Bombyx mori: one gene and its partners. Each later gene encodes a partner of the first gene's protein in a complex. Links are inferred from orthologs where the notes say so. Each region holds a gene or a part of one and is shown in the gene's direction. Other genes may lie near its edges.

Region 1 (3,760 bases):
TAACTGATAATATAAATATTTGCCACATAATAAAATAACACTGCATTGATAATTTTGAATAAAAGTTGTAGACAAAAACATCATGAATAAACCAGATTCTTACCAACAATTAAAAAAAATATTGTTATAATTACATAGACAACCCTAGAAACCTGTACCTATTTATACTTAGGTCGTTTCCATTTCACATATTCTCATCCCAATCGACCCCTTTTTCGTTGTTATTTGTACCTGAGACGTCCCCAATATCCCCAAAAACAACAGATTTTTACATGTATTTTTATTTTATCAAATACATTAATACCAATAACAACTGAGACTTACCTTTAATATAACGGCCGTCTGGTGTAGTGGTAAGTGACATGGTCACTACACAAGGTGGTCGCGGGTTCGAATCCCGCCAAGGGAAGATTATTATATGATAAATATAAATGTCTTTTCCAGGGTTATGGTTGTATATTAAATATATGTATGTGTATAATCAAAATCTTACATTTATTTCCGTTATCTGGTACCTGTAACACAAGTTCTTTACGAACTTATCACGGGACCAGTTAACGTGGCGTGATTATTAGTAAATATTTATTTATTTATTTATTTTATATATGATGGTTCAAACACTAATTTGCGTTTATAAATCACAGTCCTCTTCTATTATTTTAAAATAAATAAAAGAGAACAAAGTTTCTAGCACTAAAATAATTACCACCACAGAAAGTTAATTTGAAACACGATTTTTTATAAGTTATTATCATGCATATTCAGAGTTGTTTTGTGAACTTTCAACATTCTACTATTACACTACAAAAAATGGAAGATTTTGCAACGATTAAAAAACTAGTATTGCGCGTCGAAAGATTTTCCTGTTTTTTTCCCCAATCACCTCTCGATCCCTAATCGCCCCATTTTACGGTACCTATTATTGGTCTTTTTTGGCGGGAACGCGAGGAGTGAAGTTGTATGATTTTTTTTTATTAATTTTGTCTATTTAGTGTTTCTTCAGGTTTAAATGTGTAATAACGGTGGTTTATTAATCGTTTAATATTTGTGAAAGTGCACAAATGTGGGGAAATGAAACAAAGCCACTGAACGTAACTTCTCGGGATCCTCCAAAAAGTCCACTGAAAAAATCTCAGTAAATGACCACCATTTTACTGAGATTATATTTCATCCCAAATCATCTCATTTAATTTCATCCCAGTTTATTAATGTCTCAAATTAATCATCTTCATTTCATTTCACTCCATAATATCATTTTTTATAAAAATATGAATATATTTAAATTAAAATAAGACATGACTTAAAGGTCTTAGTTACCAGGTCACAAAATCCCTTTAAAAAAAACCCAACTATATAGTACTATATACTTGAAAACTTGAAACTACGTCCAAATATAATAAGTGTATAATCTATGACTACGTCGTCTAAAATATAAGAACGTTTATCATCTGAATTTGTTTTTCTGAAATATATAAAATGGCTTTTTTAATCAACGGAATTCGTCGATGTATGTGTCTTAAAGGCTTTGGAAGTCCTAATGTGATTCTTGCGGCACCTTATCATGCAAACGTAAGTACCTATATGCATCAAAAATATTTGCCAATGTCAAGGATTATCGATTTTCTACTTTGCGACGTAATTTTGGCAAAAACCTTGACCATCAGAAAAAGCGAGTAGGAGCTAATGGTCGGCCGATTAAAATGTTAATAATTAATTAAGAGTCTTTTAAAATAAACTCCCGGAACCATTCTCGATTAGAAATTATTTTCGAAATTTAGACATTTCTTGCAACATGCAATCGAAAATTGTATAAATTTTGGAAAGTATACATTTATAATTTCATTTTCTCTTAAGATTTATAACAAGCTCTTTAAGCTGTTTAAATAATAAAATAAGCCTCACGAGTGTCAAGTTTTTGTCGAACAATCCAGAATGTACATTCGATCGAAAATTTATTATTTGAATCAACTTTAATAGTAAATTACTTAAATAAAAATAATACTTAGATGGAAATATCCACTACCTTTTTTTCTACATGTATGTTTGTAGTGTCATCTCATCACCTACAAATTTTTCACCATAAAATTTTCAACTACAAATAAAATACACTTTCATTACAACCATATAGGTAAGAAGAAGGATACATCCTAAGTACTATTAAGGATTGAGATTTCAAGTAATTGTCTAATGTGAGAATTTAAGTTATGCAATATCTTCGCCCTAGTGGAAAAAGAGTGCCAGCAACTGTTTCACTGAGCTAGTCAAAATATTATTATACTAACTAAGGGATTTAGAATTGCCGATTTCAAGAAAATGTGAATTCATTGCTATCTAACCAAAGGGACAAACAAACAAACAATTACAGTTTCAGATTTATAAAATTAGTATGTATAATAAGAGTATACTTTATCTTACAGGTCATTGACCATTACGAGAATCCTCGCAATGTTGGTTCATTGGATAAGAAAGATAAAAATGTAGGTACAGGCCTCGTTGGTGCACCTGCATGTGGAGACGTAATGAAGTTGCAAATCAAAGTGGACGAGAATGGAAAAATCGTTGATGCCAAATTTAAAACTTTTGGATGTGGTTCAGCTATAGCTTCAAGCTCTCTTGCCACTGAATGGGTTAAAGGAAAAACAGTTGATGAGGCACTAAAATTGAAGAACACAGATATTGCTAAAGAGCTGTCCTTACCACCAGTCAAGCTTCATTGCTCTAGTAAGTTTTTAATTGTTAAACTGCAATTTATCAACATAGTAATGATATGTACAAAACTTTTTTTACTGGAACTGTAAAGAGTCAGAACATTTACCAAATTTTTTAAGTTCTTTTCATATGAATTACAGACACTAAGTACTTTAATTTGATACCACACACATGAAGCTATTGTCTGTGATTAAATAAAGCATCATATTTTACCATACTGAATTTTAAAATGCATTATTGGAATAACTATGGATTTGGTAATTACTTAATAACAGGTGGCATGTAAGCTTATTGATCCATCTCAGCAATAAAAAATGCTAAGGAAAAGTTAGTGTAACACAGAAAATATTCTGGTCCAGATACAAATTAAGCAAAATACTATCTACGGTCACGGTGGCATAATAATTTTAATGAATATGAACCATTGAATTAGGACCATTGTACTTGTGCCTTCACTCTGTGGTTGATTTATGATTAGTATACTGGACACTATAGCAGGGGTGGGCAAATATTTTGATAGTCGGGCCACATTGCAGATGAAAATTTGACCTCGGGCAAAACAGTTTTTTTTTTCTAATTTTAAGTATAGTTTTTGCTTAGGATGTCAATTAATAATTTTTTTATAACTTTTGAGAAAATTAGTTCGACTCTTCGAATTGAAAAATATGTTAAGCAAATACATGAGTTTCAGTTTCATTATTTCTTTAGTGTTTTACGATGCATGCACCCTCAGTAGATCTATATATGCTTTTATTTCGTTTAATTTTCTGCCAATTTATTGCGGACAGATATTCCTCCAAATGAAAATTAATATAAAATAACTTGCGTTCTACTATATTGCAGGAGAAAATGGCGGCTTTAGATTTAAGTTATTTTGTTTATTCATGCAATAATGTGATATAATAAGTATAATAACTAATAAAATTGTGCGACTCTTATACATACTGTAATTGTTCAATTATCATAATTATATTTTCGAATAGGAGGCGCTGAAAAGAGGGGTTGTCCGGGAGAACATTTTGGCTCCCACCAGCATTTATGTTATACAAAA
Region 2 (3,670 bases), on another chromosome or scaffold:
TTACTATGGATAATATTTAATTTAATTTCCATTGCAACTTAATTAATGATATTCAATTTTCATCATTAATTTGTTTTTTATTATTATAGTATCTGTTTAGAATTTTAGATTTTAACCTGATAATTATTTCAATGACCAAGCGAAATAGTCTCTTTATTTCTTTTTAGTTTTGAAAATTGTTTTTAAAAATTAAAGTTAATATTAGGCATTTCATGGTATGTAATATTTGTGTTACATGGTATGTAAATTGTATTCCTTTGCTAACTTTCATAACTTGACATAACACATATTAAGTGATTTACATACAAAACATGTTTAGTAATCATCTTCCGCTAAGTTACACAACAAAATGTGCAGGCAAGTGAATTTTTAAAAATGGTCTAGAAATCCTAACTTCTTTGACAAAAATATGACAATTTTCTTCGCTAGTCTTGTAAACAAAGTACTTTTGTTGTTTGTTTCCTTTGGATAATTTGGTTAAAATAATTTAAATTTCATCAAACTTTTAACTCACTGTTTAATTTAGTAAGTACCTATATATGTCTTAGAATGACGGCTGACGAGCATAACAATATTTGAATTTGTAATTATCAGATCGCAAATGTTATTAAAACATCGGGAATGTCAAATCAGATGTTACTGACGTTAGACCAAATTGACAATGTACACTTTTCGGTATCCTGTAGTGTAGCTAGACAAAGGCTACTTAAATTTACATCCTTACTAGTGTAAATTGTGACTAATAATCAAAGTCGAATTGAAACTTCTACCCAGACGCGAAACTTACGAATTTACCTTCTTTTACATTTATTATCACAATTCAAAAGTTTTGCACGATAAATTTATTTTATAACAAATAAAGGTTTAACACCGTGTAATACGGAACGTCTAATTTTTGTTTACATAAAAAAACTGGAGTGTAATGTCATAACTGGTCATAACAATTCGTAAGACAAATATCATTGGGTATTACCTTTTATCAATATATTATAGTTTTTAATAAGCTTGTCGAATAATAAAGCGAAATGTCTGGCGCGATACCTAAAATACAAATATTATCTCTCTATAAATTGCTTCTCAGAGAATCCCAGAAGTTCCCTAACTATAATTTCAGGTAATGTTTTGCACCATTATATAACCTAAAACAAATGAAAGATTTACTCCAACGTTACTAGTGAACACAAAAGCATAATTTTGTTACCTTCTTAAATTACAAACAAAGTCAATACATTTTTAATTTTGTCATGATATGTGGCTACCAAATTCTATTAGGCTTAAGTAAATGTATTTACTGGTGGTAGGACGTCTTCAGAGTCCGCACGGGTAGGTACCACCACTCCGCCTATTTCTGCCATGAATCAGTAATGCGTTTCGGTTTGAAGGGGCTGGGGCAGCCATTGTAACTATACTGAGACCTTAGACTTTATATCTCAAGGTGGGTGGCGGCCTTTACATTGTTGATGTCTATGTGCTCCGGTAACCACTTAACACCAGGTGGGCTGTGAGCTCGTCCACCCTTGCTATAAAAAAAAAGCGAAAAAAATGAATTTCAACGCAATCAAAAATTATCAAGCTTGTTTGGAATCAATTATTTGGATAATAATTGAAATGAGTCAGGTAAATGGAATGATGAATGTGATATTAATGCACTTCATTAATATTAATTACTCATTATGATAAGTAATCAACGAGTTTAAATTAGCACTGTGAGGGGCATATAGCTCATAGAAAAAATGGTCACTATTGCAACTCTACACCAAAATCTGTAGTACAAGTAATCCTTCCAGAAGGTAGACCCACAGTATGTTGAAGTTGTGAGAATCTGTCAGATTTGAACAGCTTAGGATCAGTCACTGTGGTGAAGCTTGAGGATGGCCTATGTCCAGTAAAATTATGTAGACTGATGATGATGCTATAAATGATTATCATTTTCATGCATTTAAATTGTTATTTTAGTTTTTTAGGCGGACAAGACACATTTTAAGCAAACTTAATTAGATAATTAAATAAAAAAATCAGCCTCAATTAATAACTACAGCATCAGAGTTACAGTAATTAAAATGAACGAGATTTTCAAAGCCTCAATAAATTATGAATTAATTAATCAACAATTTATCAAAAAATGCTAAATTTTAACCATTCATCCTTTCAGAGCATACGCACTAAGAAGAATTCGAGATGCTTTTAAAGATAATAAAAATGTGTCTGATGTTAAGATTGTGAAGAAAGAGTTTGAATTTGGAAAAGAAAATTTAAATGTTATCAGGAGACAGGTGTGTGAATATGTTTCATTTATGTTATCAAACACATGTGATAATTAGCTTATATTTTATTTAGAAAAGTATTATATTTATATCTTGGTTTCCTTTATATCACATCAGTTAAGTGGTAACGGTAGTCTATAAACATTACAATGGGAAATCTGCCACCTTTTGCTTTTTACAATTTGTCCTTAGTCTTATTGCAGTGCATTTTGCAGTGTTGGTCTTCAGGAGCAGGAAAGGAGAACCAATTTTCTAAAATTTCTATTAATGAAAATAAAGTATACTTCATCCCTACTGTGATGGGTTTGAAATGTTGATTTGATCAAAATATTAAACAACTGATCTTTTTCTCATTCAAATAAGAAAATGTGGTTGCCGAGCTGAGCTGAGAGAGCTGGGAGAGATTATGGTACCAATCTATTCAGGCTCACTCTGGTAGTTTTCCAATTACAGCACAAGAGCTCATTATGCGGCATAATGCTCAACGTTGAATGTTCCAACTGCAGCAACTCGAAGCACAATTGAGCACTCTCAAAAGTACTGCTCTCGCGTGATACTCGCAATCGATACCGACTCAGTGACAGAAAATTGACAAGTGTTTTTTCTTTAAGTTGGCATTGATCGAAATTTTGTTTATATTATCGTTAGTAATATTATTTAATGTTGAAAAAAATTGTAAGGCTTTCGTTTCGTCGTAGTTTCTTAGAAATAATCAATGTTAATTAAGACTGTGCTAACTTAGCGCACTCTGCTGATGCATTTCAAAACTAATTCACGTTCCAATTAAGCTTCAGCATAATTTGGCATTGTGCGTCACTGAGTCGCATTATGCTCTGTAATTGGAAAACTACCACTACACCCCACCTCTGATCTAACTGCACTAAAAGGTTAAACTATTGTGATTAATTCATATATGAAATCATCTTGTTTTACAGGCAGCCATTGGAAATATGTATAAAACAGAAAAACTTGTTATCGAAAATCTGCGGTAGCTTCATGTTTATAATTGTATATTATTATGAAACATCTGTAATGTATAATGTACATTTGACTAATAAATAGTATAATGCAGAGTTTTTTATTCAAATTAAATCTGTAGGGGTCTCAGAACTTTCATTTAAATAATTATAATTGGTTTTGTTACTAAAAGTACAATTAAATGTATATGTGGTATGCATATACACAGGTATGCATCATAAAATAATTTAACCTAATCGAATGGGAGAAGGTGTGATAATTAAAGATGATAATCTAACTTTTTTGGAAATACTGGAAATAGGCTGTGTGCTGATGTTGACTTGCAGTTATTATAAATTAGACTCTTTCCGAGGTCCGTATATAAGGTACTAAAGAGTTTAGCAGAGAATGGCCAGTAATGGCATTTACTGATGATAAGGAGTAACGTC
Region 3 (3,760 bases), on another chromosome or scaffold:
GCTCTTTCACCTGCCTATGAAAACAATTTAAGTTTGCTTCCACCACAAAATGCCTATATGCTACCAGAAGAATCTAAAGAATGTGAAGAAAAGCTGTAGTTGCTGGAGCTATGTACTTGTATTGCAACCTAATCTAAGCCATATTATGTATAAGTTTCTGTTGTACCTATGAAGACGACAAAAAAACAAGAACTGGATATCGGGCGCGCAATTACCTACGAAATATAGGAAAATGGCAGCTATAATCGGAGACGCTAAAGGTAATAACGCAAATACGTTAAGGTACTGGTGACAGGGCAAAGTAGCGTGAGTAGTTGTGAGTAAACACGGGTACCACCACCCTGCCTGTTTCTGCCGTGCAGCAAACTGCGTTTCGGTTTGAAGGGTGGGGCAGCCGTTGCCCTGTAAAAACGAAGTCAGTCTCATATCTCGAGGTAGGTCACGGCATTTACGTTGTAAGTGTCTATGAGCCCCGGTAAACACTTAACACGAGGTGGGCCGTGAGCTCGTCCACTCATCTTAGCGATAAAGTTTTTTTCCAAAACAAGAAGTTATATTTCGGTTGCGTAATTCGATTATCTAACAACTCAAAATTCACAAAATATAAATATATTTTTTATTTAAATATTTATTGCAGAAGTGTCGTCCGGCGGTGTCATTCGCCAAAGCTGACGGTAGTGCATGCTGTAACATTCTGGTCCAGCGAGATATTTCGGGACACCAGCAGCAACGCCTGATGCGGCCTGAATGACTGCCGCACCGGAACGGCTGACATAGTGTCGTCGACTATCATCTCTACCCCTTCTACTCTGTCCGAGTTTTGAACCCCTATATAGATCGGACGTCGGGTGAGAGAGTTCCAGGGAGGTCGTTTGGTGGATAGGGCCCCATAAACATCCTTGATCTCATGGTCTACTCCTAAAATCTGCAGACCGTGAAATCCCATATGCCCCACGCATCCCCTAGGGGCAGACACCTCGTATGAGGTTTGGCACCCTGTCCGAAAAGTCGAGTTCATATTGGACTCATAAGCTATTTATCACAAGGTAGGCAGTGAGCTCGTTCAACCACCTAATCATAAAGAATAAAGAATATTTATAATTTTAATCACACATACATATTGTTGATATATATATTATTATATACTCTTGATACACCCTCTTTAGAATCAAATAAATTAGGTGCTGTATCAGCATGTTCATCTAAGCATGCAAAGGCAATAAATTAAAAGATACATGACGTTTAATTTTGTTTATTTTATAGGTTATTGACTTTACAAGAATTATGGAATAATTTTCACGCATATTAGTGACTTTTGATTGTTCGAAATACCCTAAATATATAATATATGTCTTAATGTGTATTAAGAGCAGAACAAAGATTTGCCTGAAATTTCAACCATTGCAATATTTTGTCGTCTTTTTTGAAATGCAAAATCATATTATCGATCAAGATAATTATTAAAAGGCAACGATTTTAAATCGTTAAATCGAGTATACTATTAGAAGTTTCCCTTTGCGAATGATACAAAAAGTCAAGGCTGACAATGACAAACGAGACGTCACATTGACAATATTAAGTCAACAAACTTTAACCTCCTGAAGAATGCATATCAAAATAATATTACGGAGTAGAATTTAACGTAATGATTAGGAATATAATACGTACCGGCCGGTGGCTGGTGCGGCTGCAAATCAATAGTCTCGCCCCCATCGCGATACGAAAAAGCAGTAGTATACTAAAAGACTTCAGACTGAATGTTAGTTGTGGTTTTAATAACCGAAGATTATCTGATAATATCCGCAATGAAGAGGAACCTCTAGTATTTGAAGAGGCTTGCAACGAGACCTTAGAGTCGCTGTGTGATTTTTTTGAGCAGTTAATCGAAGATGCACCGAATTTGAAAGGAGCTGACGTAACATACAGCGTAAGTTAAATTTTCAATGTGGGTAACTACATACTTAACCACTTCTTACTTAATAATTTCTTTAAAGTGGACATTATAAAACCTTTTGCAAAAACTTTAGTTGTGAGAGAAACTGAATCCAATAATAAAAGGTGGAATTGAATGAAACAAATGCTTAAGTTAACATAAAATTTAATATTTAAAGTATGCTCTTCCTAAATTCCAGTTGTAACTTAAAATATTCTTTTCAAAGCGTAATGTTACTACACCATATTAACAGTCAATAATTTAAAAGAGTAACCTTATTTTCTTATTACATGTAATTTTCTGTGCGCACAAAGATTAAAGTATTTGAAACATAAAGAGTAAAGTAAAATAAACTAAATAAATACTGTTCTATACTGTTAAAACAGTTTAATTAATATTAAATATTAAAAACGGATAAAGTCTGTCTATATTTTTTATGGTCATCTTATCTGGTTATAAGAGTAGAACAGTAACAATTCTGATAGCATTTGAGACATAGACTTTTTTTTTGTATGCAGATAGGCATGTGGCCCACCTGATGGTGAGTGGTTACCATCGCTTATGGAAGTCAGCAATGCCAGAAGTAGAGCCAAGCTGCTGCCTACCATTATCTACCCTCCACAAGCCTCGTTTGAATAAGGATATGTTGTAGGGCTTGGGAAACACCGTGGAGTAAAGCTCATTCGAAAGCCGGATGGTACCTGGCAAAAAAGATCTCAGGAAACGCATTGTGGATGAATGCAGTGGGTCTACATCTCAAGGAATGTATTTTGTGGGATTTAATTAACATTTAATAACTGGATTGACTGTCAACTTGTCTACTACTCTAGAGCAAAAAGCAAAAAGAGGCAAAATTACATTCCAACAACATATCTTGTTGTAAGATATGCTTGCTATGTTCAATGTGACAGTTTTAAAGATTTGTCTTTAAAACAGTACAGTACAGTCTGGGCAAACCCAGACTGATAATGATAATGAGTAATGATAATATAAAAGCCCTAAACATTTCTGCCTCTTAATTCTTTCTTAGAAATAAAATAATCCATGTTTCAGGATGGTGTATTAACCATATCATTAGGAAAGCACGGGACATATGTGATAAACCGGCAGATACCAAATAAACAGATTTGGTTGAGCTCCCCCACGTCTGGACCAAAGCGCTATGACTTAGTTCTCGAGGGAGGAGGCTACTGGATCTACAAACACGATGGAGTCACACTCCACAAACTCCTGCAACAAGAAATATCAGTGATAGTTAAAGATAAAGTTGATTTATCAAAGTGCTCACACAGCTTAGTTTGAAGTTCATAAGAAATAAGAACATAGTGTGTATACTTTAGCATAAGCTTTGCTTTAGTTTCAAACATTAACTGAGGCAATCTCCTTAGATTTGGTTTGATTTCAGTTTTTATTTTATTTTAAATATACAGTTGTTTTTTTTATTATTGATTTTTTTATTTTATTTGATAATGGAAGTTATTGAGGATGGAAATATTATTGATAGGATCCCAATTTTGTTGCAAAGAGATTTGGAGTATTATCAGGTTGGTTTATCCAAAGTTTTTATTCAAATTAATAATAACATAACATTAATAATAACGTAATCAAAATTTCATAATAAAAAGCTAACTCAATTTTATGTACTAAATACTACTCAAATGGGTAAATGTCTTATTTATACACATATAAAATACTAAAATAATGACTACATCAACAGGCTTAGCTTTTTATCTGATTTCAAAATTGGTTCAAAATTTATTTAGGTTAATGTTAGTCAAGCTGCAGCTGTCTGCTTATAAATAAGTATTAAATTTCCAAAAAAATCAG

The links.
Region 2: iron-sulfur cluster assembly scaffold protein IscU (region 1) and LYR motif-containing protein 4 share a complex: the UniProt entries of both Drosophila melanogaster proteins name them as parts of the mitochondrial core iron-sulfur cluster (ISC) assembly complex. The link is inferred for Bombyx mori from reciprocal best matches to the Drosophila melanogaster genes IscU and bcn92.
Region 3: iron-sulfur cluster assembly scaffold protein IscU (region 1) and frataxin homolog, mitochondrial share a complex: the UniProt entries of both Drosophila melanogaster proteins name them as parts of the mitochondrial core iron-sulfur cluster (ISC) assembly complex. The link is inferred for Bombyx mori from reciprocal best matches to the Drosophila melanogaster genes IscU and fh.

The regions. Positions count from the first base shown.
Region 1 is NC_085129.1:12,109,261-12,113,020, forward strand, and holds the start of iron-sulfur cluster assembly scaffold protein IscU, read left to right. Parts: upstream 1-1,362; 5' UTR 1,363-1,476; coding exon 1,477-1,569; intron 1,570-2,417; coding exon 2,418-2,798; 3' UTR 2,799-3,760. UniProt on the Drosophila melanogaster protein: Scaffold protein for the de novo synthesis of iron-sulfur (Fe-S) clusters within mitochondria, which is required for maturation of both mitochondrial and cytoplasmic [2Fe-2S] and [4Fe-4S] proteins.
Region 2 is NC_085108.1:8,217,012-8,220,681, reverse strand, and holds LYR motif-containing protein 4, read left to right. Parts: upstream 1-790; 5' UTR 791-1,025; coding exon 1,026-1,114; intron 1,115-2,152; coding exon 2,153-2,273; intron 2,274-3,199; coding exon 3,200-3,256; 3' UTR 3,257-3,337; downstream 3,338-3,670. UniProt on the Drosophila melanogaster protein: Stabilizing factor of the core iron-sulfur cluster (ISC) assembly complex that regulates the stability and cysteine desulfurase activity of Nfs1 and participates in the [2Fe-2S] clusters assembly on the scaffolding protein IscU.
Region 3 is NC_085115.1:238,335-242,094, forward strand, and holds frataxin homolog, mitochondrial, read left to right. Parts: upstream 1-1,545; 5' UTR 1,546-1,645; coding exon 1,646-1,927; intron 1,928-2,986; coding exon 2,987-3,235; 3' UTR 3,236-3,378; downstream 3,379-3,760. Other genes in the region: carbonic anhydrase 1, read left to right, coding at 1-99; uncharacterized protein LOC134199323, read left to right, coding at 3,403-3,477. UniProt on the Drosophila melanogaster protein: Promotes the biosynthesis of heme as well as the assembly and repair of iron-sulfur clusters by delivering Fe(2+) to proteins involved in these pathways.